3 linked regions of the Arabidopsis thaliana genome follow. The protein of the gene in region 1 interacts with the protein of each later gene in a pairwise test. Each region holds a gene or a part of one and is shown in the gene's direction. Other genes may lie near its edges.

Region 1 (10,231 bases):
TGCAGCGTGAGTAAACTACTGATTAGTATCTATGGTAAACAAACATTGTTGCTAGTAGAAACAAAAATTTCCCAAAAAAGGCAGGGGAAGGATGGATCTTGTTACATTTCTTTACCAGTTTGGCTGGATCTTTTTTTGCAACTCCTCTGCAGTTGGGAGTAGTCAGTACAAATATATATATAATAATATTATTATGTTACAGTTTTGGAATTAGACGCTGAGGCCATCAAAGCCACATTGCTTGTAAATGAGAGCTTGCTTTCTGGGACTAATGCCTATCCCGCAATTCACGGATACCTGCAATGCATCAATATATTAGCAAGCAGAGTGAATCTTTTTATATATATATATATTTTTTTTTTGATAAAATTATTAGTTTAAATCAATACACTATAAACCAGTGAAAGGAAGGAGATGGTGTCGTTGTTCGTAATTTACACCTCAATATATAACATATAATAGCTTTTTAGGTGGTGGCATAGACGTGGATGAATGATCCTAGAAAAAATATCAAAAGTGAAGGAGAAGCAAAGGCCAAAAGGAAAGCAGAGTGGGGACAGACAAGAGCATGACTAGTGGTGTAAGGAATCTATTTAACTTAGCAACCACTTTTTTTTTTTTTTACCCGCATTTTTTACTCAAAAAGTGTGGTAATTTCTTTGTCAAAAGTGTTCACACTGCGCTGGTTAGGCCAGATCGCTGAGCGAGCAAAATGCGGGGAGAAAAGAAGGGAGAAGAACCTGAACACCCGGTGAATCGAAATTCATGACTCGGATCTTAGCCCCCACGTCTCCGCGGACTGTGAGCTCCACTCGGTCGTTCAAGGAAGCATCTCTGACGAGATCGGCGGCGTGGGCTTGCATAAGATTGACTCTGTCGACGGAGATGGTGGCCTCAACGTTCTTCGTACTGTGCGCATCCTGGTAGAATCCAGGCACCGTCGCCCTCCCCAGTGGCATGCCTTTGTACATGACCGTGAAGCTGGACTCACCGTACCTGATTCCGACCTTGTTTGGGTTGACGGCGGTGAAGAGCATCCGGATGGTGAGGGAGAGGGAGGCGGTGGTTGGATCCAGAACAGCGCTTGGGTTGGAGATCCCCATGTACACCACTGCCACTTGCTGCAGATCGAACTGCGGCTTCTTCGGCTTCACCGCCAGTATTACGATGAGCACCACCGCCAGTACCAGCAGCGCCAGGAACGCGAACAGCAAGAACAAGCAGCAGCAGCATCCCTTCAGCGACGCCGACGACGACGATGAGTAGCTCCGGTAATACGGCTGCTGGTTCTGAGCAGCAATCGGATCGCCGTTGAGACCTGCTCTAGAACTAGAAGGAGGAGGAGGCATAGTAAGTGAAAGCAGGAAGCTCCCTCTCCCTTTTCACTCTTCTTCTGTAATAGCGGTGTTGAAATTATACACAACAAGAGAGAGAGACCCTGTTTCCGTGTCTGGACTCTAGTATTATTGACAAATTAATGTTTCACAATTTTAACCACCAATAAAAATATCAATAATGTAATTTACAGCAATTTTAGGCAAATCTCACACTCAGACAAGGGTTAGAGATGACTCAAAAAATGTTGGATCTGATATTAAAAAAACAAACAAATACAAACACACAGTTACTATCCTTTAGTTACATCATATATATGTATTACGTCGTTGCTTTGTGCTATATAGCTGACCTCTTGCTGATATTTATATTTTCGTCAACTCTTGATCAAACACAGATGCCACGTCGTTTCTATACTGACTCTCCTCACTCTCTTTTATCTTCTTCAACATCTTCTTCCCTGTCCGACTCCGCATTCTTCTCTTGCTTAACTAAGCTAATATCACCATCTTGCTTCCCCCCTGTCAGAGATTGAGCTTCCTCGTTTTCTTCATCCACGTCTCCCGAATATGCATATCTGTCCATCATTAGTTTCATATTAGCATCCCTATCACACCCAGGAACACCAAAATTGGACCACTACATAAGAACCACTAGCATGTAGCCAAGACTTCCCACAACATGCTCAGCTGAAACCGTTTCCACAAAACCATGCTTATTTGTTGGTATGCCCGAGAGGTATCAAAACCTTTTAAGTTGATGTAACATACCTTTGGGAGTTCTGCGAGGGGGTCCAGAGATAGCAAATAATACATAGCAACAAGAATGCGATAACATCCCAGAAGGCAGTTATAGTCCAAGCAGTCTGCCATCGTTCATTGAATGGATCTGTTGCTTTGAAATACACCTGCACGGGGACAAATCATCAGGCAAGCAAGCTGGGTATATTCCAAGAAAGAAGGAGCTTCTTTTTTCCTAGCTTGAAACAAAGCCAGTTTTAGTTGAGCAGTTTGTTTCCTAGAGGTAAGATTTGAGTTTACTAAATCAGCATCAAATCAGGCTTGACAGGATGGTACCTCATACACTATCCACGCAACAGAGGCAACAACCATCACAGCGAGTGCATTTGAGAACTTGCGGTAAATTTCCAGCTTCACCGAGGTCCTTTTCATCTGCAGTAATAAAGAATTTTATAGCTGGTCTGATGAATCTTGCCTCAAAACCCTTACAACTTACAGAGTCTGATGGCTATATTTAGAAAGAAAGAGATACCTGTAACTGTTCCAGTGTTTTCGAAAGAGAGGTAAATATCCACAATATGAGAAATGCATCGAGGAAGGCGTCAGGAAGGACAAGAAAAAGTTTTGATCTTCCGGACATATCGTCAATGATGCCAACGTGCTCAGCAATATCAAGGATCTCAGAAGCTATGAAGTAAGTAACTCCAACAAGGAGGACTTTAGAAGTGAGACCACCAAGAGTAGATTTGACAACCCCAAATCCCATGGAAACACAGAGAATGAGAATGCGGGAAACAGTCTTTCTCAAGGCACCAATGGTAACAACCCATGTAGTAAGGGCTAAAGGCCTCATCCCCGTGTGATTAAAATTAGCATAATCCAAGTACCAAAAGAGCATCTCAAGCAATCCTAGAAGAATGACGGCAGTAATGCAATGTTGAAGTGGCAATATATCCATCCGGAACCTCAAATACTGGAAGAACCAGACGGCACTGAGCAACAAATAAGCGAGAGACATATAGACATAGAAATTCACGAGTGGAGCCATCCTACCAGGAAGATAGCCGTCGGGATTTTTCCAAACAGTCTTTCCGGTCATTTTGAGGCCCTTAAGTTGTGGATCACAAGATATGAATAAGAGATTATAGATTCCAGTCTTGGTGATAAGAATCTCAGTGTCTGCCATCTTAGCAGACGAGCGTTTTCCTTTAAAGCGGACAGGTAAGAGGATAGGCCATTGAGGGTCATGTGGAGAAGGAATCCTAATGATCTCACCCTGCTTACAGCCTTGAAGCTTGGCCAGATCTGGAGTGCAGCAAATAGATCTTTGGCCTCCGTAAGCTGAACCACCGATATTGTTACGATCGGAGGCTTCAAAGATCACTGCTTGAACTAACCCATTGCTGCGGTGGCCCTTACCGGTAATTGTCCTCCAGAGAGTGATGTTCTCAAACCTGCAGTGAGGAGGGAGGATGAGTAGAGTAGAGTAGAGAGCATCAAAAGAGTTGAAAATGTAATCCATAGAATATACCTGATTAAAGATCGGGAAGAGGCGAAGATGCCCTCGCTGCCACCGTAGAGGAGGAGAGAATTACCGACATCGTGGAAGGGCTGGGAAGAGTAGATGTGGGCGGAGGCCCCAGCGATTCTAAAGTGTAATGATAGAAGAAATGGGCACAGCAGCGCAGACAGCTGGATCAGTTTTCCCAAATCCATTATCGGGGAACGAGGATCTCTGAGGCTAACTAACAGGAAGGAAGCGGGAGAAGAGCAGCTGCAGAGTCGCTCTTGTTCTAGCTGCTGCTGACTTTGGTGGACCAACCAACTTAATATAATGGTTTGGGCCTTAGAATGGTTTGGGCCTATACCGAGAGGCCCGGCTTACCCAGAAAGAAATGCAGCAATAGTCAATGCCACTGCCTGGAATTCGTCGATCGAGCGATAAGAAGAAGACTGGAATTTTTTTGAGGAGGACTCTGCTCCATCGCCGCCCGCCCTGTAACCCACCGGACTCAGTAAACTAGTCTGTAACACAATATCTTCTATTTCAGATAAGATTTAGCTTGGAGAAGAGCAAGTTCCGAAAATGGAGGGGCGTCGTGTATAGATCCACCACCCACAGGTTCGTAGATTCCATAACCTTGGATTGTGTTTTCTTTTTGCTTTCTCGGCGACAAATTCCTCCGATTTTAGTGAACATGTCTCTGATTTTGGTGTCCTGTGGTGGATCTGCCGGAGCAAGTCTTAAACTTGACTTGGACTGTTTTTACTAGCTAATTCTGGGCGCTATTTCGTCTTCCTTGTTTCCATTTCTATCTCTTTCTCTCTGGCCAGTCCTCATATGTTATCATTTCCTAGCTTTGCCACTACTCATTACTTTCCCTTTATCGTGTTTATATCTTAGCCCTGATGGAAGCAGACAACGGAGGCCCCAATTCTAGTCATGCATCCAAACAACGTCTGCGTTGGACGCATGAGCTACATGAACGCTTCGTTGATGCCGTTGCTCAACTTGGTGGCCCTGATAGTAAGTTTCCTTTTTTCTTGTATAGTCTATGGTAAATTTAGTAACTCATGTTTTCCTCATCAATATCTGTGGTAATAATATGCACACCAATATAATCAAATTGCTCTTCTTGTATGCTTTACTACTATCCATGAGAGGGAAAGCCTATCGTCTGTTTGCTTAGGGTTCCTAAACATTTTTCTTCCTTTGATTTCCAAAGGAGCTACACCCAAAGGCGTTCTTAGAGTGATGGGTGTACAAGGCTTAACTATATATCATGTCAAGAGTCACTTACAGGTATTCTCAAACTGTGTGGCATCTTGTCTCGTCTCTCTTTCTCTTACCCTTGCTGATTTTTGCATTTGTGTATTTTGAGTCAGAAATATCGACTTGCAAAGTATCTTCCAGATTCGTCTTCTGAAGGTAGTGTGGACATTGATTTTCTTCATCTTCTTTCTCATTCTACCAGTTTCCTATATACCTGAAAACTGGTTTTTTCAATTTTCAGGGAAAAAAACTGATAAGAAAGAATCTGGAGATATGCTCTCTGGGTTGGACGGCTCGTCGTACGTGAAATTTCCCTCTTTGAGCTTGATTTGTGATGCTATATATATATTACCTCGCGCCGCAGATTAAGTGATCAATATCGTTTCGAGATTACAGGGGAATGCAGATAACTGAAGCCCTCAAGTTGCAGATGGAAGTTCAGAAACGATTACACGAGCAACTAGAAGTATGCTTCACCATTCCTACTTAAGAAAGACAAGCAACAACGAAACAATTAGTAGGATTTTCAGTGTAGCACTGAATTTTGCATTACATATGACATTATTCTTTGATGTGATTTTTTCTTAGGTGCAAAGACAGCTGCAACTACGGATAGAAGCACAAGGAAAGTACTTGAAGAAGATAATTGAAGAGCAACAACGACTCAGTGGAGTACTCGGCGAACCCTCAGCCCCAGTAACGGGCGATTCAGATCCTGCAACCCCTGCCCCAACATCTGAGTCTCCTCTTCAAGACAAGTCTGGCAAGGACTGTGGACCAGACAAAAGTCTCTCAGTTGACGAGTCTCTCTCATCTTACCGGGAGCCTTTAACACCAGACTCAGGGTGTAACATTGGGTCTCCAGATGAGAGCACAGGAGAGGAGAGATTATCAAAGAAGCCTCGATTGGTGAGAGGTGCAGCTGGTTATACACCTGATATTGTAGTGGGTCACCCAATACTAGAATCAGGCTTGAACACTTCTTACCATCAGTCAGACCATGTCCTCGCCTTTGACCAGCCATCTACATCACTGCTTGGGGCCGAAGAACAGTTGGATAAGGTTTCAGGAGATAATCTTTGAGTTGTTGAGTGTACCACATGTAGTGTTGTTTATCCTAATCCTTATTAGTTAGGAGTTTCCTCTAATAATGTGATCACAAGTCGTTAATTCTCTAGGCACTATCACGAGCATGAAGAATGAATATGTCTGTGTTGTGCTGTAATTTGGTAAACACAAAACAAAATTACTCTTATTCCCAACACACTACATTCTTCTAAAGCTACTTTATCAAAACAGTAACGCATGCCGCATTTAAACATACACAGCTGAATAACCTAGCATAAAGTTAGCTAGGCCTGGAGATGATCTCAAAACAGAACATTACAAATTATCACGTTAGTGAAGCCTGCACCGTTCTGAAGGTTTGCATATTTGCTGGTGCCTTGATAATAAAGACTGGTGATGCGATCTCGAATGGTCTTGTCGATGACGGTAATGAGGTGAGTGCACGGGTTGTGTTCTTTATGGTATTTTCTAGTGTTACGTTCTCTCCAAACGTTGTATTTTACAGTTCTCATATATTAAATTTCTCAAATATAAATAAACTATTTTGGATCAACAAAATAAAAATTTAATATTTTCTAAGAAACAATGTTGCTTTCATATAAAACACTCTTTCTACTATAAGAAAATACTTAGTATATCAGTGTAATAAGGAACTTTTTGAATTGACAACTTATATTTTATTTTGGGAATGTGACACGTTTAGACACTTTTACAAAATCTTATTCTTTTTGAGGCACTTTTCAGGGATGAGGCACTTTTCTTTGTTTTTGGAGGTAAAAAGGACAATTATATCATTTCCAAATAACTGTCTAATCACGTAATATTTTCTTTAAAAAGAAATGAAATTTGCTTTTTTTTTAATCTTATATCTGATGAAAAAGGTCTTCCTCTCTCTCAGATCTTCTTCCTTCTTCTTTCTCCTTAAGCAGACATCTATCCATGAAATCAACGCAATAGAAACGATGAAGAAACCTCATTTTTTGAAGAATCCAATGTTTTTCCTATTTCTTCTCATCACTGCTTCTTCCTTAACTATACTCATCTTCTCCTTTCTTAAATTACCGGAAACACCTCTCGCCGCTGGTAACCATCTCTGCAAACTCGGAGACGACATCTCCGACGAACTCGGTTTCTTCGGGAAGATGATGATCGAAATGTTACCTGAAGATCTGGTTTTCATAGCCTTCGTACCGTCGGAAATATCATTCAGCCGAGATCTAGGGCTAAAATTAAACAATAGTCGTCCGATTAAATCCCATGAAGACAAAAAGAAGATAACGAGTCTATTTAAATATATCCATAAAAACGAGTCCATTTAAGTATATCCATTAAGAAACCTTTTTACTGATACATATTTATTCATTATACAATGTACATAATAAAAGAGATGCGATTAACTGTGGTTTGTAAAGCTACCAAATTTTCTTGTCCATAAGGTCTTGGAGGTGGAGGTCTCTGCAAACTGAAAGAAAAATCAACAAACAATAGTTTTGTATCCATAATAACAAGTCCATTAAGATATATTCATTCAGAAACCTTTTTACTGATCCATATCCATTCTATATACCATGTCCATAATAACAGAAGATTCGATTAACTGTGGTTTGTAAAAAAACCAAAATTCCATGTTCATAAGATCTTGAAGGTGGAGGTCTCTACAAACTGAAATGTCTCTAATTGTGTATCCAATATAAACTGGCCACATAGACTTATCTAAACAGTTCGTTTTATATATTTTAATACAAGATCCATCAACAAACATTTTATTGAGAATATGATACAATGTTGTTGATAACAAGCAAATGGTTCGTAATTTGTATTGGATCATAGACTGTAATGGATTGAAGGGGACACAATGAAATTAAAGTTGTTGGCTTTGGCCATAAACGACGTCGTCAAACGAGGAGGAGAAGTGCACAGAAACCGTCATATGTTTCATGTATCTGTTGTCCAAATTTTGTAATAAAGTTGGAGACTTTCAGAGATTTAGAATCAGATTCATGAATGTATTTAAAGATCTCCAGAGAAGAAGAAGAGAAGCGATAGATGGTTGAGAAATATGGTAGATGATGAGAAACCCTAAGAGATTCAATTTTGATTTTGAATATTGAGATTTTCTAAAAGATTAAAGAGAAATTGGACTTTAAAAATAAGAAAATCGTCAGTTATATGCCTTACTAATAATTTTGGGGTATAATAGTCATTTTAACAAGGAAAAGTGTCTAATGTTTTTTAAGTGTTGGAACACGTCAAATGTTTTTAAAAAGTGCCCCTTGATGTAATATTCTCTTTTATTTTTGTCGACTAAATTTATTTTTCATCGACTTATTTTATAACAGTCGATTTACATTTTGGTTAATTGTTTTTCTTACATAGATGACTTTTTCAACTGTTGACTTATTATTTTAATTATTAATTTTATAATTTGTTTTTCCGACTTGTTTAATCTTAGTAGACTTATTTTATTTTACGTTGATTTATTAATAAGATAGACTTTTTGAATTATCAGCTTTTTGTTTAATCTTAGTAGACTTATATTTTATTTTCATCGACTTAATTTTTTCTCTACCGACTATATCAAAACAGTCGACTTATATTTGGTGGGTGATTGGTTGGGCTGTAACTGTAGAATTTTCGCTGTAGAGATTTTGCTGTAGCTGTGTTGGCTGTAGCTGTAACTTTTATTGCTGTAGAATTACTGCTGTAGGTTTTTATTTTTAAATATTTATAAAAAAATGATAAGTAAATATAATAGTTGTAATAAAATTTTTTTTTTATAGTAAATAAAATGTCTTATATTACTAACTTAGATATATTTATTATGATTATATAAAAATAAAAAAACTCCTATGAATTTTTAATAAAATAAATCTAAATTTTATCTATGATTATTCCATAAATTTATTGCAATATAATTTTTTTTTTTTAGGTTTGATAATTATCAGTTTTTTTTTAGAATTTATCTTTGTTTTTGTTATATATATATTTTGATAAATTTTTTTTGTATTTATCTAATGAATTAAAATTTCTATAGCCAAGAAAATAGGGCTTTGAGAATTTACTCTAGTACAGCCTTAAAAACAAAATAAAAAAAATTTGGGCTGTAAGTTTAAAAAGAAAGCTACAACACCATTGGTTTGTAAGTTAGCAAGAAAATAGGGCTTTAAGAAAAATTAAGGCTGTAAGTCAGATTTAAAGCCCAACCAATCATGCACGAGTTTCTACAGAGTGGACATTTTTGAACTGTTCATTTTTTTAAGAAAGTGATATAATTATTTTGATTTTATCTTTGAAATATTAATTAAATTTAAAAAATTAAATCTAATTAATATATATATATATATATATATATATATAAATTCGTAATTAATATGAAAATACAGTATATTTTAATATAATTATTTAAAATTGTTGAAGAAAATATTAAAATTGAAAATTTAATTTGGATTTATATATATCTTAAATCCGTAAGTATTCTAACATTTCTTTAGATAAAAGTATCATGGGGATCCTAACATTTATATACAGTATATTTTAATATAATTATTCTGCGACGGCGGTGAGATCTGGTGAGCAAGATGCTATGATGCTTGACGTCGGAGAAAAGGGGCGTCCACCAGGGGATCCTCCGGATAAGTTGGAGTCGTGGGCTACGAAAGTGAAGGGTAGTGCTGGGGGAGGTATCTTGAAACCAGAAGACGTGATTGATGATGAGTTTGTGAGGGAGCGGGTGGGGCTGGAGTTTCCAGATGGTGAGGACGAGGAGCCAGTTATTACCATTGGTGAGGAGGTGTTGGAAGCCATGAATGGGCTTTGGAAGAAGTGTATGATAGTGAAGGTGCTTGGGAGCCAGATTCCGATCTCGGTGTTGAATCGCAAGCTAAGGGAGCTTTGGAAACCGTCGGGAGTGATGACAGTGATGGATTTGCCCCGCCAGTTTTTCATGATTAGGTTTGAACTGGAAGAGGAGTATATGGCTGCTTTAACCGGAGGTCCATGGAGAGTTCTTGGGAACTATCTGTTGGTCCAAGACTGGTCGTCAAGGTTTGATCCGTTGAGGGATGATATTGTGACTACCCCGGTGTGGGTTAGATTATCGAATATCCCGTATAACTACTATCATCGGTGTTTACTCATGGAGATTGCTCGTGGGTTGGGTAGACCACTCAAGGTTGATATGAATACGATTAACTTTGACAAGGGTCGTTTTGCTCGAGTGTGTATTGAGGTTAACTTAGCAAAACCTTTAAAAGGGACTGTGCTAATCAATGGGGATAGATACTTCGTAGCATATGAAGGACTGTCTAAAATCTGT
Region 2 (9,985 bases), on another chromosome or scaffold:
AAAGAGAGAGGAGCTTTTACTGTTTCTTGGGTCCTATTCCTTTAAATGAGAGGGTTTCGTTTTTACTTCTTCTATCTCATCATCTTTAGGATCCTCTTCTAGACGAGTAAAGTAATCCTCGTTACCAAGCAATGGGTCTCCTCTTTTGAAGACAGGGTCTTTTCCAAGTCCTAGTTCAGGCCAAAGCTTCGGTACTTACAGAAGGATGTAGCGGTATTGATCTGTATGAAGGAGACTCTCTAAAACTTAAGATCATGATTTGAAAACTTACAAAAAAAGGGATTGACTTAATTGTTTTCATCAGTTTTAATAACATGATTTTGAATTTACGTCTTATTGTTTTTTATATGAAAAATACAATTAACAATAAAATTGAGCAAAAAAAAGGGAAAATACAACTAAAACATAAGTAAAAGATAAACTACGGTTTAAGTTGTTTACACAGATGTGTTTTGTATCAAATGAAAGAGACTCTCCATATCATATCTCTTTTACTACCACGTCCCCATTTGGTTAGTCGATTAGAAAAAGTTGAAATAAAAAAAAATAAAAAAAAATAAACAAAAAACTCTTTTAATAAAGTATGATATTGCAAATTCTCAAATTTCATGAAGGTTTTCATCTTCTCTTCTATATTTTTTTTCTCAATGCAATGCATCAACTAATGTTAGCTCGGTTAAAATAGTAAACAGAAGAAATTACACTATAAGAAATATATATACACAACTTTGGAGGAAAAATCATTTTAACAAAATTAAAATAAAAAGTAATACTGAAAATTTTAAGTTTTTTATAGAGTGAAACAAACCATTTTAACAAAAATAAAATAAAAACAATTTTAGTGCATTGCAGACTTTTGCGCAACTAAAGTGTCTTTTTTAAACACATCATAATTTATAAACTTCAAAATTAATATTTTTAATTATTTTCGAGCGTTATATTAACAATTATAGATAAATTATATATATAATTTTATGTAAATATCATTCCATATTCAAAAATAAAACTGAATATATATAATTCACTCATTGTGGACAACTTGCTAGTATATACGTATAAACAGAGTTAAGATTCAAGACACAAAGTACTAGAACGATCAAGAGAGTGTGGAATAAAATTTACCTAAAGGTACTTGATTGAACTCAATTATGTTTGGTCTTGCATCATCTAAAAGCCTTTTCGCATCACCATAAGCAATAATAGAGTGTGAACCATGAAAACGAAGAGAATCATAAAATGTGCATGAATAGCACCAAATTGGATAACATCTGGACTCGGGCAATCGTCAATGTCCCATAACAATGTCGTCTTCGCTTCTGCAATATAGAAAACGAGATGGATGAATACTAAGATTTTATAGTAATTAGTGAAACTATAGAGAAATATAAACTCAATATCCTTAATTACCTTGGTCTTTCTTGGAGGGTCGAAACATGGTTTTCAACAAATTTAGAGACAAATAAACTTTCTCATTTGGATTTGTTTGTTTTTGATTGTGCGTGCTAAGAACCTAAGACCACCTCCAATAATATTTCTATAGGAGTCTTTAAGCATAAAATTCTTACGAAAAAGTTAAAAAATAAATCAAAACTGATAATTAATGTAAGGGACGATCCTTAAATTAAAGTTTTTAGAGTTTGTAAGAGACTCATACGTGTCATTGTACTATTGGGTAGAAAATATGAGGGAAAATAATCTTTTTTTCTTTCCGATGATTGTTGAAGGCAAGAATCTTGAAATTTTAACAAACAATTTGGAGAAAAGAAAGATAGACGGGGTGATTGGATTAGACTTTTAAGACTTTAAGAAGTTTTTAGAAGTTTTAAAAGTTTTTTTAACCCAATCAAACATTTTTGGTTTTCATAAATTTTAAAGCCTTTAAAGTCTTTTTTTCTTAAACTCTTTGTTTTCAATATTTTTTGAAAATCACGTATAGGTGACTTTAGAAATAAAGAAATAAAAAGTTTATAGTTTTTTTCTTCTTCTTTCTAATATGTATATAAACTCTCATAACATTTCACAAATAAATTATTTTTTGAAAAAATCTAATTGATTTATAATTGATTTTTTTCTTGTTCTTTTAAAATCTATTTTCCTATATATTTGGTAGTTATTTTAAAATCGTAATTTATACAAAATTTCCTATGGAATTCATTGATAAATGTTTATAATTACTGTTTAATTTATATTCTTTTAAGATCCACTTATGTATATTAAAGAACATCAAATATTACATTTGATGCAAAAGCAAAGAAATATGAATGTATAAAAAATTTACCATAAAGTTTTTTTGTGTGAATGTAGTTGTTATATCACAGTTCGAGTTATATTTGCTATAATTTATATTATTTAAAATTATAAGTTTTACAGTTACAATTTCTACAGTTTTGGTGTTACCTATCAGATTTTAACCGTTAAAGTCTATACTGTTAAAATTTTTAAAGTCAAAATTTTTATAATCAAAGTTTTTACCGTCAAAGTTCCTACAGCGAAAGTCTCTACAACCAAAATTAACAGTCGTTACCAATCGGCCCTAAAGATAGATAATGATATCTTACCGCTGAAATCTTCTCCCTCGTAATACATGGTTTTGACGGATTGATCGAGACAATTAGAGAGTGATAAAAAAAAATCTGTGGTTGAGTTAGGGTTTAAATACGTAATCAGGTGACACGTTAAATTATCTAATTGTACTTTACCAAAAATTATATAATTGTAATTAATTAAAATGCCAAGAAAAAAGAAAAAAAAAAACAGTGCAGATAGACATATGGTTGATTAACACACTGTATTATCCATTTATTTACAGTGAAATAAAATATGATTAAATAAAACAAAAACAGAAGCCTCCAAATATTTGGAGGCTGATTACGCCAACTAGTCCCCGTGTTCCTCGATTAGGTCGGCCCATCATATTGTTGGATAATTACGGCCCATAAAGTTTTTACTTGATCTGAAATCATCCAAATGAGAAGATTTAGATAATTCATAAATTATATTGATGTTCAATTGTTCATCATACTGCTCTTTTGTTAACAACAATATGGCTTTGAATTTGATTGATTGTCTCTAATTTTGCAGATATTGGAAAGACGAAATGGTTCGATATTTTGAAGTATAGGTTTATTCACATGAACACCCTCGGTGATGAAATCGAGACTTACCAACCAAAAGCCCTTGTTTATTGATTTTCGTGGTTTGGCCCGCAAGTATTTTTTTTCTTTTCTGGTTAGCCGAATAATATTCAGAAAACGAGGAAAAGCATTGAGATTTTTTTGTTTTAACTAACTAAAATTTGGATGAGAAAGTGAGTTAGCTGGTCAATAAAAGGTACAAAAGTTTAGTGTTTGGACAGGCCACTTGTCATTTGAAAAGTCTCTTTCTGTTTTGTATGAGATAATCGTCACCAAATATATATTTTTCTTACTGACTTAATAATTTCTGTTTAACTGATTCAAATAGTAAATATATTTTGGTTAATTAAAGGTTCAAACGAAAATAAGTGTAAAAAGCTAAGGAGGAGACAAAAATAGGTAAATTTTAGTTGGTAAGAGTTGAAACTAAAAATTAGTATTTAAAAAAAAAAGCAAAGAATGTGACAAAAATGGTAAATATATAGAGAGACTTTCTTGGGGATGACTCAATGCCACTCTTTGTTCATACATAAGAAACCCCACCGATGACTTGGATAGAAAGAAAAGACAAATCAAACCCTTTCATTCTTACTCATGTCCTTTTCATACACCACTCATTCTCTCTCTCTCTCTATCTATTTTCTCCAAGTCCACTTGCAGATAGGTGCAATGGTTAAACACTAAAGTGGGATTGCCATTTTCAAAGACAAGTCCTTTTCAAAAATATCATCTTCTTCATTCTCCTTGTTGAAATCATTACCAATTTAGAACAGTCCATGGCACTTTGTAGTAAAAAATGTCAAAAGTGAAAATCAAAAGTAGACTTGGGCCAGGGACCATATACCATGTTTAGTAATGTAATTTAGATATTTAAGTTATAAGTAGTGGAGAAGTAGGCCTTTTGACGCGGATACAACGATGAAATGAAAAGAGTGATGTCTCAAAGAGTCAAGTGTCGTTCCCATGTGCTTTTTGTTCGCTATTGCTCTTTTCTATTTCATTCGCTTTAGGTTTTTAGAAATTGCAAAGTCACAAAGAGCTTCCACACTCAAACCTCAAATAAGCAAATTCTCGAACTATGCGTCGTGTATGAATGATAATTCATAAAACTTGGTTTGTTATTGAAAGACTTTTAAATTCTATAATCCTCTTTGGACTCTTTTCTTGTTTCTTCTTTGCTTGTGTTTTTTTTTTGGTATTTTTGTGTAATTTTTAGCTTTTGGCTAATGGCTACTACATTTTCTTCGTCAAAGTTCGTCCACCAACAACAGATACTAGTAGAGCCCGCCACAAATCGCTTTTGCTCCATTGTATATGGGCCTACTTACGGACCCACAAGCCGTCCTCCACAACACTAACGTTGAGATAAAAAAGACATGCGTATACAAATAAAACATGTCTATTGTTTAATTTTTGCTTGCTCAAGTCATATTCAAGATGTTAGCTTAACTTGTCGAAAGGTTTTTTTACAAAAGTAACTGAAACTAAACCAATGAAGTCACTGAAATTTGTTAACCAAAGTCCAATTTAACGACCCTTTTAGTTGATAAGAAACAGCTTTGAAAAACCTTGACCTTTGCGGCTTGAAAGCAGAAGATAATAACCTAATTCTTTTTACTTTTCTTACATCAATCTTTTTACCTTTATAATACTGTTAGTTAAAATGAAAAAAGACAGAAAAGTTGCAGGCGACATGCAGGTGACAAGTAGCAGAAGACAGTTGTCGACGTGTCACATTCACCATTTCAGCCAAAGCCATTGATCTGATTCTAGACGGTGGAGATGAGGTCACACTCTTCGATACGTAACTGCCGATACATGACGTCATCGTGTCTGTGGGTCCCATAAGTGAGATATCGTTTTACTCTCTCTTTTTTTTCATAACGTCAACTCTTTTTTTTACCCATATTAACAGAGTGGTAATAATTATTTAACAAAAAAAAACCTATGTATTTTTTATTTTTTGGTCAAAAGGTTTCTGAATAAATTTGTAAGATTATACGAAACTACAAATTCATGAGATATAGAAATTATTCAATTGATATTTTGATAAATTACATTTCTATTATTAAATTCTTGAAAATAATTAAATACAAAACTGAGTTTTTTAGTAAACTATGTTAGTTAGTTTCTTCATTTTTTGTTGTTGTTGTTGGTTTTATAGTTTCTTCATTTCTTGCAGTTAATAACGTAATTTTGTACTTTTAAACTAAAGTGGTAATTGATTAAAAATACAGTACTCGAAAATGATAAATCGGATGACAAAAAAAAAGAAAATGATAAATCAAAATGAAAATACTCACTTTCTTACTTTTTTCTTCCTACTAAAATCTCTCCGGTTTCATTCATATCCCTCTCTCTCTCTGGGCCTTACTCAATCACCACCAAATAACAGACAAAAAAACGCCTTCATCGCCGGCGAAAGTGAGTCGGAGAATGGCGTATATGTGCACCGACAGCGGAAACTTAATGGCTATAGCACAACAACTCATCAAACAGAAGCAGCAACAACAATCACAACATCAACAACAAGAAGAACAAGAACAAGAACCCAACCCCTGGCCCAATCCATCCTTCGGGTTTACTCTTCCCGGTTCGGGTTTCTCCGACCCGTTTCAAGTAACCAACGACCCAGGTTTTCACTTTCCACACCTGGAGCATCATCAAAACGCAGCCGTCGCTTCCGAGGAGTTTGACTCCGACGAGTGGATGGAGAGTTTGATCAACGGTGGAGATGCGTCACAAACCAATCCAGACTTCCCAATCTACGGCCATGATCCATTCGTCTCATTCCCGAGTCGACTCAGTGCTCCTTCATATCTCAACCGAGTCAACAAAGATGACTCAGCGAGTCAACAACTCCCTCCGCCACCAGCTTCCACCGCTATATGGTCTCCATCTCCGCCATCACCACAACATCCTCCTCCTCCCCCGCCGCAGCCGGATTTTGATCTAAACCAGCCGATTTTTAAAGCTATCCACGATTATGCACGTAAACCGGAAACTAAACCGGACACACTAATTCGGATCAAAGAATCCGTGTCCGAATCAGGCGACCCGATACAACGAGTCGGGTATTACTTCGCAGAAGCTCTGTCTCATAAAGAAACAGAGTCTCCGTCGTCATCGTCGTCGTCATCCCTAGAAGATTTCATTCTCTCATACAAAACCTTAAACGACGCATGTCCATATTCAAAGTTCGCTCATTTAACAGCGAATCAAGCAATTCTCGAAGCTACGAATCAATCAAACAACATTCACATAGTCGATTTCGGGATTTTTCAAGGTATTCAATGGTCTGCTCTGTTACAAGCTTTAGCGACCCGTTCTTCTGGTAAACCCACCCGGATCCGGATTTCGGGTATACCCGCTCCGTCTCTAGGAGACTCACCGGGACCGTCTCTGATCGCTACGGGAAACCGTCTCCGTGATTTCGCGGCGATTTTGGATCTCAATTTCGAGTTTTATCCGGTTCTGACTCCGATTCAATTACTAAACGGGTCAAGTTTTCGGGTTGACCCGGATGAGGTTTTGGTTGTGAATTTTATGCTTGAGCTTTATAAGCTTCTAGATGAAACAGCGACGACTGTTGGTACGGCGCTCCGGTTAGCTAGATCGTTAAACCCGAGGATTGTGACGCTTGGAGAATACGAAGTCAGTTTAAACCGGGTTGAATTTGCTAACCGGGTTAAGAACTCTCTCCGGTTTTATTCCGCGGTTTTTGAATCGCTTGAACCGAATTTGGATCGAGATTCGAAAGAAAGGCTGAGAGTGGAGAGAGTGTTGTTCGGTAGGAGGATTATGGATTTGGTCCGATCAGATGATGATAATAATAAACCGGGAACCCGGTTTGGGTTAATGGAGGAGAAAGAACAATGGAGAGTGTTGATGGAGAAAGCTGGATTTGAGCCGGTTAAACCGAGTAATTACGCGGTTAGCCAAGCGAAGCTGCTACTATGGAACTACAATTATAGTACATTGTATTCACTTGTTGAATCGGAGCCAGGTTTCATCTCCTTGGCTTGGAACAATGTGCCTCTCCTCACCGTTTCCTCTTGGCGTTGACTACTTGGTCCGATAAGTTAATCTAGTATTTTGAGTTAGCTTTTAGAATTGAATTGTTTGGGGTTAGATTTGGATGTTTAATTAGTCTCTAGCCTATTCTCTTACTCTTTTTTATCTAGTGCTTGGAGTGATGATGGTTTGTCGTTTATGTTCATTTGTAATATATATTGTATGTAACATTTGACTAGATTTCTTTGGTATAAACGAAAGAAGCTAAACCAAATTCATGTGAATGAAAAAAACACTAGAATTAACCCCTGAAATTGAGGAAAGGAGGTGATGAAGTTTGATTTTGAAATGAGAGTATTATGGTCCCATAAAAGAGACTGAAATTTGAATTGCACTAAGATCTTTCACTAACACACCATTTCTTCTCCCTTTTCATCATTTTGTCTCCACTTTTTCTTGCCTAATATAGTTTTGTTTACTTCATGAAAATTATATACCAATGTTTTCTGTACCATTCACTGAATAATAAAATAGGAGCATAATTATTTGTCAGTGAAGTAAAAGCCAAAAATACGAAGGCGCACTGACAAGTATTTCAATCTTTCTGTGTCAGTCTTGTTTCTCTTTGTTCGAACTTCAAACGTGCCACTATGACGTCAACTCTCGAATTTCTTCTTCAGTGGTCTTTTGGTCCCCATTTCCTATATCTCTCAGCCACTACTCTGACTCTGTCTGTGAGTCTGATAGTAAATTTTACTTCCCTAACGAAGATAAAAGCCCACTCTGTTTATGCTTGGCCCAAAATAAACAGGCCTAATCTCTGTCCCATTCCTTTATTTATATTAGCCACAAACAAAAACAATACATAGAAGTATTTTGCAAATAACCCAACCAAGTCTTGACTCTTCACAGCTAATTGCTTACAATTTGCCAGCTTGATTTTTCATTTTTTAGAAAATCATGGTTAGGAATCCAACATCTATAAGTGTGATGATACCTGAAATAAAAATTAAAAAAAAAATGATCTAATCCACTCATTTTAAGTGCTTTTGAATTAGAAATCGAAAATGATATAGACTATAAAGTAATATATAGATCAATCCATTTATAACTAATTGATTTTGAGTTAGAAACTTCTAAACTTCACATACATCATAAAATTAAAAGTAAATCGTTTCATTTACAAATAACTAAAGTATTGGTGGAAACTAACACCTTTGGATATCGAGCAGACTATGTATGATATGAAATTCAACTTAGACGATGAAATTGCAAGCCATGAAATAATGTTTACCGGTTTCTCTAAGAAAAAAGGTTCAAGCAATGATGCGTTGATATTTTCCTATAATGAGATGAAACTGTTTTTTTGACCAATCATTCATGAGCGGAGTCGCATCACGACGACGTGTGGGATAAACAATGTTCAATGGAACTTCCAAGCACATGATTGACAACCTTGGTCCTTTGACTGCACGTTACCTCATATGTAAATAGATATTAATACAACATTTTATGCCCATATTTGTCGACATATCACTGAGTTAGTAGTATGTTTGATGGTAAGCAATAGAACAAGAAATAACAGAGGACAAATGGATAGTTTCTCACGTGCCTCCATGTGATCTTTAACTCCTTCAAGATACGAAGATCAACAACATTTTGCCAATGAATGATAATCTACAACATTATTTTTTTTGGTTCTATTATAAAACACTTTTTGCTAGAATCTCTCGGTCAAATATTCGTATATAGAATATAGTCATATAGATCAAGCTTGATGGATCTATGAGTTGGACATTAATAATCTCATTCCAACTTCTTATCCTATATATAACTCAATGGCTTAGATCTCTCATTCTATATGCCATTGAGTAAAAACATAAATGGCACGCTTAGAAATGCACAACTCCATGAATGGTGCTGCTAGAATCTCTTTTTCTAACGAGTTTGTCGAGATCAGATCGGAGAAGAGTAATGCTAAGAGCAACAACATCAACTCGAGAAGCTCTTTCTCCATGCCCTCAGCTGATTTCGCTTTCTCAGTCACCGATTACTCGATGATTCCCGCCGATGAAATCTTCCTCAAAGGAAAGATTTTACCTTTTAAGGAGACCAGTCACGTCCATAGGACCTTAGGAGAAGAGCTTCTTACTGAAGAGGAGGGTTCTATGGTCGATGGTAACACTTTCTCCCTCAGGCCAATATTGTTGTCTTCTTCATCCTTTTCCACAAAGGGCACGTGGAGGGAGCTTTTGGGACTTAAGAGGACCCATGTTAGATCTAAGAAGACTGATAAAGTCAATGAGGAAGTGTTAAGTCAAGATCACAAAATAATCTCAGGTATACAAACAAAAACAATCCTCTGTTTTGAAATTTTTATTCTTCTTTGGATAACCGGAGATTCCCAAACCAATACTAATATGAGCTAGTGAAAATCTTTTGGACTGATCAGGAAATGTTGCAACGAGGGAGTGTCAAGTTGCAGATACAAGATGAAGAAAGTTTAGAGCTCCCACTTTGGTTTCTAGAAATTAATTTAGATTATTTATGATAATCTAGATTGACTGTATCTAAAAGGTCTTTGGACAAAGATGGTTCCAAGTTACAACAACTCTTCTCGCTCACGTGTTTTGTTGTTCTTGTAAGTTTTTGTTTTGTTTGTGGAATCAATCATTTTGTGGAACATCTCTATTTTTTAATGCCAGTGAAGATTTGTGTGTAATACTTTTTCTTTTTATTCACTTTTAGTTATAAGTTGTCTGCATGCACTTGTCTCACGTACCACTTATTATCATATATTCATATCGACCAATTAAACTTCTTTTCCCACTTTAATT
Region 3 (10,762 bases), on another chromosome or scaffold:
TGTCTGTAATTTGTATGCTAATAATCTTATATTTAATAAATTTATGCAGGACTTGGAGTTTGTTCAATTCCATCCAACTGGTATATATGGGGCCGGATGTCTCATCACCGAAGGTTAGTATCATGTTCTCACATACTCGAATTTGTTTGCAATATAAAATTTAATGTGTTTTTCACAAAAAAAATTTGGTGTTTAAACAATTGCAGGATCTCGAGGTGAAGGTGGTATCCTTAGAAACAGTGAAGGTGAACGTTTTATGGAACGATATGCTCCTACAGCCAAGGATCTTGCATCAAGAGATGTTGTCTCCAGATCCATGACTATGGAAATCAGGGAAGGTCGTGGTGTAGGTATGTTCCACTGAAAACTACTTCTTATTTTCAGAGTGAACTCTCATTACATGATATGCTTTGATATTGTGATCAGTCTAGTTTGATTCTCACCCTGGACAACTTTTTGCTGATATCTTCCAGGACCGCATAAGGATCATATCTATCTCCATCTGAATCATCTTCCTCCAGAAGTTCTAAAAGAAAGGCTTCCTGGAATCTCTGAGACCGCTGCCATCTTTGCTGGTGTTGATGTTACCAAAGAGCCAATTCCTGTCTTACCCACGGTTCATTATAACATGGGTGGTATCCCAACAAACTACCATGGCGAGGTAAGAATAAGAAAAGTCATTTAAGAAACTTTGCTGAAATTTGTGTGGAGTTAAGCATGAGATGGATTAGAAGCCTAGCTCTGAAAGTTATTCTGTTAAATCCTGCAGGTAGTTACCATCAAAGGCGATGATCCAGATGCAGTGATTCCTGGGCTAATGGCTGCTGGGGAGGCAGCTTGTGCATCTGTTCATGGTGCCAACAGGCTTGGTGCAAATTCACTGCTCGACATTGTCGTATTTGGTCGTGCTTGTGCAAATAGGGTTGCAGAGATAAGCAAACCAGGTTAGTCTTTTTTGAGGACTGCTGTTATTATAAAAGATAAGTCTCTTCTGATCATTTTTTTTTCTTTATTCGATTGGTGCAGGGGAGAAACAGAAACCTCTTGAGAAGGATGCGGGTGAGAAGACTATTGCATGGCTGGACAGGTTGAGAAACTCAAACGGGTCTCTACCTACTTCAACTATCAGATTGAACATGCAGAGGATTATGCAGAACAACGCAGCTGTGTTCCGCACGCAAGAAACATTGGAAGAAGGTAAACAGTGATCTGAACTTGTTCTGCATTTATTTAATTCTCTCACCTGCAACTGCAATCCATTTTCTTTACAATTTATTACCGTGAAACAATCACAGGTTGTCAGTTGATTGACAAGGCCTGGGAAAGTTTTGGGGACGTCCAGGTGAAAGATCGGAGTATGATATGGTAAGACAGACTCTATTCACATGGGATTGATTATCACACTGTTATAAAATCTGGTGAACTCTTGTTAATCTTGGAAACTATGAATAAAATGCAGGAACTCGGATTTGATAGAGACATTGGAACTGGAGAACCTTTTGATAAACGCATCCATAACAATGCATTCAGCAGAAGCACGAAAGGAAAGCAGAGGAGCACATGCTCGGGAAGACTTCACGGTTTGATTCCTTGCTCAGCTTTTCCACAATGATTGATTATCCCATAATGATGAAACCATAACGTAGTATAAATGAATGCGTGTGTATGCAGAAAAGAGAGGATGGAGAATGGATGAAGCATACATTGGGATATTGGGAAGATGAGAAAGTGAGATTGGATTATAGGCCTGTTCACATGGACACTCTCGACGATGAGATCGACACTTTCCCTCCCAAAGCTCGTGTCTATTGATCGAGCCCATGTTTTTATTTTATCTGTTATCGGAATAATAATAATAATCAGGAACCCCCCAAAAAAAGGGAATTAGGAGAAGAAGACGGAGTTATGAGCTGATGGAGCACAAAGGACTGTTCTGAAACTGGGTTTACGTTTTACACCAGAAACGATGAAAATAAATTGATAGAAAGAGGAAAAAACACTACAATTCTTATTTTCTTTATCAGTTCCTGAAATTGTTACATTCTTTGTTACCTGTTAATTACGCCTTGGTGATATTCATTTTTTTTTTTTAAATCAAAATGTTCGAATTCCGTATCGACCGTGAAAGTTATTTTGCGGTGATAATAGGTATCAGAACACGAGATACAATTTTGAGTTGTGACCATTAGAAAAACAAAATTTGGGTTGTTTTTTCTTGTCTGAACAAAATTTTATTTTAGGTAAATTCGGATCAGTCAAGGCATTTTTTAGGCCTACAAGTGGGGGTAATTTCAAATATTTTTGTTCAATATTTGCGTATCTGAGCGAGTTTTAGATTGGTCCGATCGTCGTCGCTAGATGATAATGTTGGCCGTAGAAAATGTGACCTTTATAATGTATCTCTCTTTAAAAGTCGTCCACTTGCTTATGGCGTATACTAAAAAAGTGCTCTTCCACATATGCAAATTGAAGATACAGTCGGTGAATGTAAATACAAAAATGATCTATGATTACGACCTTGAAGCTTAGAAACTAGCCCCACACCAATTCGACTAATTATGTAGTTCAATATTACACTAACCAACCATAAGATATTATATTTTTCCGCATGCGTGTGTGTTATTCCTAATTAGAACCAATCGATAACAAAATTAGAAAGCTCCACACAAATTAAACTAAACCAGTCGACTTCACCAACCAACCTTATCTATTAACCTGCTCATTTCACATTTAACAATTCCAAAACCCAATCAATTATAGTTAATTAAAAAATTTCGACACAAAGCTGACTTAGCAATGCCTAAAACGCAACGTATGAAAGAGAAATCGAGGAATGTCGTAATTAAATTGTCTAATCTTCATCTAACCTTGTCAATAAAGTAGGGTTTTTACTCACTCATACACCTTTCTTTTTCTTATCCTTATCTTAAAGTAAAAAATCTTTTTCAAATTTACTTTGACCGGTTACGGAACTTATGCTTAATGGGGGAAGATTCATATATATATATATAGACATACAAAACTTATTAGAATATATGGAGTTTTACCCGGAAAAAAAAACTCATTAGAATAAAAACTAATTCTTGTTGTTATTTACTTTTTACACAATGAATTTAACCAAATTGTAGAGAAATTACCTTATCTACTGCTTTTATGTTAATATAGTTCATAAGAAATCTGAAAAACACTATGCACCTAGTGCTGTATATTCAGAGACTGTTGTATGTTTTATGTAAAAACTGAAAGAGAGATGTGTAAGAAGTGGGTCACCAAAGTGAAGTGAGTGACATTTTGACGTGGAGACAAAGGTGCAGTGCAACACAAAAGAGAGGTTAGTCGAAAAGCCAGAGAGATTAAAACGTTGTTTTTTGCATATTTTTCTTTCCCACTCACTTTTTTTTATATAAAAAAACACATTTGCAAATTATCATTTATAAAAAGAAAATACTTTAACTATATCCTTCTTTATTTTCTGTTCAACCAAAATACTTTAAATATCCAACACAAACTCACATTTTAATTTTTGGTGATCGTTGCACTTAGTATGGTTGTTGCACACATTAGAAAAACTAAATTCTATAGGATTCAATTGTTCTAAAATTCTAATTATATATGTGAAAAGATGAAAAGCTGTCAGATTATATTTCCCTTACTGTATGTGTTACTATTAAAAACACTCCAGATTATTTTTTTTAAAAGCTTTGGAAATACTGTTTTATTTTTTTCATTTTTGGGTAATTTTTAAAAGCTAATTTTAAGATTGGTTGCTTCAATTGTGCAAGATCGATCCAATAACAGTTAAAAAGGCCCCACCAGCGATTCCTTTTCCGTGTCATATTTTAGAACTTACATGTATATTGGGCTGATCCATGGGCCCATCTGTCACCCTCATACAAACTATATATAAATTATAACACACACACAGTCTCATATATATATAACAAGTTGTCAATGAATAAATTGACAATACAATTTGAGATTATGTCTTACTTTAATTAATTATTTTATGGTGCGTCTATATTGTATCATGATGTTAATGTTTGGATATATATACAAACAAGTAATTTTCACATCAATTGCACTCTTCTTTTAATTTGTTTGGTAACCATGAAAATAAGACCATCTATTTATTTATCTATGAATGAATAATTAAGGAGGTAGGTGAGTCACTGAGAGTCAAGAGCAGTTTGTGATGGGAAAGAAGATACACATTACAGAGATCAACGGCAGAGATGAGGAACCCTACAGTATGATGACGTCATCGTTGACAGTGGTGGACCCCACCTCTCGGGTCCCTCGAAAAGAGCGGGATGAGAGATTTGTTTTCATTCATACACTTCTCAGTCTTCTGAATCTTCATCACTCTTAAACTTTAGGTTAATTTCATTTTTTGTAAACATATTTTACATCTATCTTAACCCAGATTTATATACGGTACGAATTTATTGAAAATATGGTATAGTTTGGAGGCATGAAAGAAGTAATATCAATATTGACAAGGAAAAGAGCGAGTTTATTTGTCTAGTGATGAAGAAGGACCCATAGCTTCGTCATATCCTCTCCTCCCACTGAGCGTTTCACTCACCAAAAAAGCTCTCTTTAATTTATTTTATCTTCTATTCCTTTATTTAGCAAACATTTTTTTAGTATTTGATTATAAAATCTGTTTAATTTTTGTTTTGGCGCGAGAGTGTGCGTCACGTGAACAAATTTACATTGTTATATCCCAAACGGAGACATTAATATGAACAACCTCGGCCATTATATGTCATATCGTCTTTAAAAAATGTTACACAACATTGTGAACTCAAATTCAGAAACTTGTTAGCGGATGAATCGATAATGACGAGTTCACAATGTAAAACTATGATAACATTCTCTTACACACAAAAACTAATGTGGGAGTAACTTGTACATATCTCTCTATTTCTTTCTTAGGAGACTAACAATTTGGAATTAGATCCAATGATTTCTATAATGTATGCATAAATATGTTATTGGTTAAGAGATGTGGTGTGTTTATATCGGTATTATTACCGTTACAAATATCATTGTCTTAAAAATAACAAAGAAAAATGTGTGGACCCACAATGAAATCAGACGGTCAGATTTTAATCAAACGTTGATCCACTTTCTAGGGCTGACCTTTCTTTCTTCTCCTCTCTTTACCTCTCTCTCTCTTCTAAAATCCAAAGCTTGAGATCCCGCCGTTTCTCTCTGGTCATCATCCTCTTCTTCAGTGACCGCAAATCTGCATGTTTGGCAGTGGTTTTTATAGACCGCCGGGAGGGTTAGATCTAGGCGTTAAGAATGGCTTACATGTGCACTGATAGTGGCAATCTAATGGCTATTGCTCAACAAGTCATCAAACAGAAGCAGCAACAAGAACAACAACAGCAGCAACATCATCAAGACCATCAGATTTTTGGTATTAATCCTTTGTCTCTTAACCCATGGCCCAATACTTCCCTCGGGTTTGGGCTTTCAGGTTCGGCTTTTCCCGACCCGTTTCAAGTTACCGGCGGCGGAGATTCCAACGATCCTGGCTTTCCTTTTCCTAACTTAGACCACCACCACGCCACAACCACCGGCGGTGGGTTCAGGTTATCTGATTTCGGCGGTGGAACCGGCGGCGGCGAGTTTGAGTCCGACGAGTGGATGGAGACTCTTATCAGCGGTGGAGACTCCGTTGCAGACGGTCCTGATTGTGACACCTGGCATGATAATCCCGATTACGTAATCTACGGTCCTGATCCATTCGATACTTACCCGAGTCGACTCAGTGTCCAACCGTCAGATCTAAACCGAGTCATTGACACGTCGAGTCCGCTTCCTCCGCCGACCTTGTGGCCTCCTTCTTCGCCATTATCGATTCCTCCGCTTACTCATGAGTCACCAACCAAAGAAGATCCAGAGACTAACGACTCCGAAGACGATGACTTCGACCTAGAACCACCTCTCCTCAAAGCTATATACGACTGTGCACGGATCTCAGACTCTGACCCTAACGAAGCTTCCAAGACGCTTCTTCAGATCCGAGAATCTGTATCGGAGCTAGGTGATCCGACGGAGCGAGTTGCATTTTACTTCACGGAAGCTCTCTCCAACAGACTGTCTCCTAATTCGCCGGCGACGTCGTCTTCTTCTTCATCTACGGAGGATTTAATCTTATCTTATAAAACCCTAAACGACGCTTGTCCTTACTCCAAATTCGCACATTTGACGGCGAATCAAGCGATTCTAGAAGCGACGGAGAAGTCGAACAAGATTCACATCGTCGATTTTGGAATCGTTCAAGGTATACAATGGCCTGCTCTTCTTCAAGCTCTAGCTACTCGTACTTCTGGTAAACCCACTCAAATCCGGGTCTCGGGTATACCCGCTCCATCTCTCGGTGAATCTCCGGAACCGTCGTTAATCGCCACCGGAAACCGCCTCCGTGATTTCGCCAAGGTTCTGGATCTGAATTTCGATTTCATCCCAATTCTCACTCCCATACATTTACTTAACGGGTCAAGTTTCCGGGTCGACCCGGATGAAGTACTGGCCGTGAATTTCATGCTCCAGCTCTACAAATTACTCGACGAGACGCCGACGATAGTTGACACCGCACTACGGCTCGCCAAATCGTTGAACCCGAGGGTCGTCACTCTCGGAGAATACGAAGTGAGCTTAAACCGGGTCGGTTTCGCTAACCGGGTAAAGAACGCGCTTCAATTCTATTCCGCGGTTTTCGAATCCCTTGAACCGAACTTGGGGCGTGATTCGGAGGAGAGAGTGAGAGTTGAGCGAGAGTTGTTCGGCCGGAGAATCTCGGGTTTGATTGGACCGGAGAAAACCGGAATTCATAGAGAAAGAATGGAAGAGAAAGAGCAATGGCGGGTATTAATGGAGAATGCCGGTTTTGAATCGGTTAAGCTGAGTAATTACGCAGTGAGCCAAGCGAAGATTCTATTGTGGAATTACAATTACAGCAATTTGTATTCAATTGTTGAATCTAAGCCTGGCTTCATCTCTTTGGCCTGGAACGATTTACCTCTCCTCACTCTTTCTTCCTGGCGATAACCAAACCAAACCGATCCGGTATTCTTAGTTTTGTTTTGTTTTCAATGTTATTTTTGGTTAGACAAATATTCAATTGTTAATATACTCCGTGGTCAGAGTGTTTTGTTTTTCTTTTAGTTCGAACGTTGAATTAATTCAGGGGTAGGTTTTGAATTCTCTGAACCTTATGTGTTTTTTGGTAACATCATTTGGATTTGTGAACTAGGTTTAAAAACTGGTCTTAGTCTTGTTGTTTTCTCATTAGATAATTTAAACTGGTTTGCTTCTTTATTTTTGGTTGGATAAAGTGACCGGTTCTGGTCATCTGTTTGAGATGTAATTACTATTTCATAAAATTAGGAAGTTGAAAGCCAAATATATTTGTAACTACTCTTTTATTTGTAATTTTGCTCAAAAAAGTGATGAAATGTAGTTTTGATATATGAATATCTACCATTATACATAAGTATATCTGAACATGGTACAACTTATGAAAGCTAAATGTCAATACTTGCAAAGATATAACAAATACAAGTTACATGAATAAGAGATGTGTGTTGAATTTATAAGTGTCATTTTCTTTTCACTTTAAAACAAACTTCATCTTCTTTTGTTTCTTATGTGTCAAAGTTGCCACAGTTGCTCTATTTGAGTCTTTCAGTGTCAGTCTCAGTCACTGTACTGATTTTACTTTTTTTTGTTGAGTGTGCCAATGATGACATCACTCCCACGTCCTCCATCCGTCTTCTTTTAACGGTCACGTGGCTCCCACCCTCTTTTCTCGATGTCTTTACCGACTTGTTCTAGCCCAACTTACTTGGGCCATTTAGATTTTTTGGTGGCCCAAGTTGCTAAAAGAGGATTTATCATAGAAATCTGAACCCGTTGCAGCGCTCAACACATGTCACAGTCCTGACAAACACGTATTCAAATCCTTGTTAAGTCCCGCCACCTGTCACCAGAGCACCACGAGGCAAACTCTGATCAGGACACCGTCGTACTATTATGTCGGAAGACAGGAAAGCTTAATTAAGCTTAAACCTGACGTATTTAACTTCGTTAACTCTACCTTACTAAAGGGTTTTAATTTAAAACTTATCATCTCCTCGTAAGAATAAAAACTACTTACTCTATAAATTTAAGCTTCAAGAAACCTCCAAAAGCAGAGAAATGATCAACGCTTTTAAGACTATCCGATCACTGCCCTCGAATACCACCGTCTCGTTCTGCTCAACACCATCTCGATTAGGCCGGAAAGTCACTGGAGTTAGTTTTGCCACCACTTCTGATCAGCAAAAGATGGATAAAAAGCCTGAAAATCCAAACGAGAAAACCGGGTTCGTCTCCTCCCCATATGTGTGTAGTTGTTTCTGATTCGTAATTTGGATGTTATTCAAAAAAAATTTCGTTCTCTTCTTTACTTTGATGGAGCAGTGACGTGATGTCGCATTCTTATGGAGAAGGGTACGCAACAAGGTCTGACGAAGAAGGGTTTGGAGGAATCTATGGAGGAAATCAAACACTTCAGAAGGAAAACGAGATCCATGAGAATCACCCTGGTACTCAGAATAGTTAGTTATCATATACACGTTTATTACTACTTATATGATCACTTTTATTGTTTACGATTCTGGGTGTGTGTGTGTGTGTTTTCATGTTATTGAAGATTACGACAAAACGCAAGGTAGCGAATCGAAGGAGAAGGAGAAAGCAAGGAACCAGACACAATCCCACTGCTAAAGAAAAAATGATGATTTAGTGTCTTTGTTCTTTATGCTTTAATAAAATCAGACTTGTGCTCTGTAGTTCGTAGACTCTGGTTAGAGTTTTTTTTTTGTTAATTGCGTTTTTTGACCCGTAACCTTTACCGGGTTTTTGTTGGTTATCCTTATCACTTTTGTAACACTCGTTGAATTAGTAGTTTTTGTTGATTGTTGAACATTCCCTTAATTTGACTGTGTTTGTTTATTTATGAACAAATCTACGGTTTTTTAGTTGAACCGTCGAGGAAAACATTCTTAGATAACGTCAGCAATGAATATTAGCCTGTTTTCGGACTTTCGATTCCGATGCAACACGTTAAAAGTAACGTCAGCGAAGATAAATTTGGTAAATTCATCTGAAACTCCAATGCTGATGGAACTTAGCTGGTGTGTTGCGTGTTCATAATTTATGTTATTAGTAACGTCTTAGAAGTTGGAATATTCACTCCAAGTTCGCACTTCAAAACTTTCAACAAGTTTTTAGTTCTTATCGTACGTCTCAAAACAGAGTTGAGGAGATTTAGCTTCTACTGTTTAGTGTTCTACACTTGCTTCGTACAAAGAATTGAATTTTTATTTCCATAGTTACATGCACATATTTGTATTAACAATCTCTTATTATTGGTTAGTATCATATCTGTAGTTATTCGAACACTGGGGGCAAATTTCATTTAATCAATCACCTAACGAGGCTATGATGCATGATTAACGAACGTTAAAGCCAAAATGTCAAGACTACCCCCTTATTATCAGCTCGCAGTTGGTCAATGCCTCAATGGTCTGAAGTTCAGACTCTGAACTATAATACAAGGTCAACTCAACCCGCTGGTAGTAACGAAAGTACGAAACAGTCAAAAACATATCTTAAAAATTACATAAAAACCGGAAACGAAGTTGCAGAATTTACAGTTTCTGCCATTGGGACAATCATTCGATCTCATCATTATCCTTCTTTCTCTCCATGGCAGAAACTCCTCAACCGTATCTCATCTTCGTCTTCTTCGTCTTCACTCTAACCGTTGCTACACAAACCACCGGTTCGGTTAAGTGCAAAACAAGTTTGCTCCGTTACCCGTTTGGTTTCTCCGACGGTTATCCGATCCGATTCAACTGCTCTGAGATAACCGGAGAGGCCGTGATCGGTGAATTCGCTGTGCAAGAAGTGACAAACTCCAACATCTACGTCGAAATCCCGCCGGTTTGCAAACGCAACATCCGTAAAATCGAACAACTTTTCCGGGAAAATCTTGCTCCGTCGAAATTACAGAACATAATTCTCGTCCAAGGATGCAAGAAACAGAACAAGTCTTCTAATTGCTTAATCCGCAATAAATTCGTTGAAAACCGGTTAAATCTCAGCAAATGTAAATCTCCGGTTAGCTGTCTCGACGGAGCAACAACGACAACTGCCGATGTGATGAGTTTAGGCGACGTTGTGAACGGAAGTGGATGTAAGTATTGGTTCTCTTCTATTTCTCAATCGCAAGTTTCGGTCAATTTGGGTCGACTCAAGCTTGATTGGTGGCTTAAGGGAAGTTGCAGTAACACCACTTGCTCGGAGAACGCAGACTGTGCCAAAGTTAAGCTCGACGACGGTGGACTCGGTCATCGCTGCACTTGTCGTGAAGGATTTAGCGGTAAAGCCTTCACCGTGCCTGGTGGTTGCCACCGATTAGGTTCGTTCCGGTCTTTGACTTTTGTTTTCCAATCTTGACCGACATACAAATACACCAATGGTACAATGACACGTACGCTTTTAGCAAGGAGGAAAAGCTGACTTTTCAAAACTTGGCGGAAGAAATTAGTTGACAATGATTTTTTTTTGATAAACAATAAAACAAAACGATATTTCTGTTCCGACAAAAAAATGAAAAGAAAAGATATTTCTCTTAATTATTTTTAACTGTCATGGTTTCAGTTTACAAACGCAAAGGACTACACAAACTCGTTGTTCT

Evidence for each region.
Region 2: the proteins of AT2G01060 (region 1) and AT3G50650 interact in a two-hybrid assay, tested with the Arabidopsis thaliana proteins (one large-scale study listed by BioGRID).
Region 3: the proteins of AT2G01060 (region 1) and AT5G66770 interact in a two-hybrid assay, tested with the Arabidopsis thaliana proteins (one large-scale study listed by BioGRID).

What each region holds. Positions count from the first base shown.
Region 1 is NC_003071.7:69,156-79,386, reverse strand, and holds AT2G01060 (myb-like HTH transcriptional regulator family protein), read left to right. Parts: upstream 1-3,877; 5' UTR 3,878-4,197; intron 4,198-4,479; 5' UTR 4,480-4,484; coding exon 4,485-4,602; exon of another isoform or gene 4,603-4,801; coding exon 4,802-4,878; intron 4,879-4,961; coding exon 4,962-5,004; intron 5,005-5,089; coding exon 5,090-5,147; intron 5,148-5,244; coding exon 5,245-5,314; intron 5,315-5,436; coding exon 5,437-5,931; 3' UTR 5,932-6,179; downstream 6,180-10,231. Other genes in the region: AT2G01080 (Late embryogenesis abundant (LEA) hydroxyproline-rich glycoprotein family), read right to left, coding at 211-297, 741-1,349; AT2G01070 (Lung seven transmembrane receptor family protein), read right to left, coding at 1,762-1,912, 2,106-2,242, 2,412-2,507, 2,608-3,529, 3,607-3,791; AT2G01050 (zinc ion binding / nucleic acid binding protein), read left to right, coding at 9,503-10,231.
Region 2 is NC_003074.8:18,803,686-18,813,670, reverse strand, and holds AT3G50650 (GRAS family transcription factor), read left to right. Parts: upstream 1-5,427; 5' UTR 5,428-5,570; coding exon 5,571-7,199; 3' UTR 7,200-7,532; downstream 7,533-9,985. Other genes in the region: AT3G50640 (uncharacterized protein), read left to right, coding at 9,032-9,488, 9,601-9,644. UniProt on the Arabidopsis thaliana protein: Probable transcription factor involved in plant development. Involved in environmental abiotic stress resistance. May increase the expression of stress-responsive genes. Binds DNA in vitro.
Region 3 is NC_003076.8:26,655,413-26,666,174, forward strand, and holds AT5G66770 (GRAS family transcription factor), read left to right. Parts: upstream 1-4,898; 5' UTR 4,899-5,310; coding exon 5,311-7,065; 3' UTR 7,066-7,507; downstream 7,508-10,762. Other genes in the region: SDH1-1 (succinate dehydrogenase 1-1), read left to right, coding at 50-113, 207-350, 474-661, 770-944, 1,027-1,197, 1,296-1,365, 1,460-1,580, 1,672-1,812; AT5G66780 (late embryogenesis abundant protein), read left to right, coding at 8,215-8,381, 8,479-8,603, 8,711-8,784; AT5G66790 (Protein kinase superfamily protein), read left to right, coding at 9,769-10,483, 10,726-10,762. UniProt on the Arabidopsis thaliana protein: Probable transcription factor involved in plant development.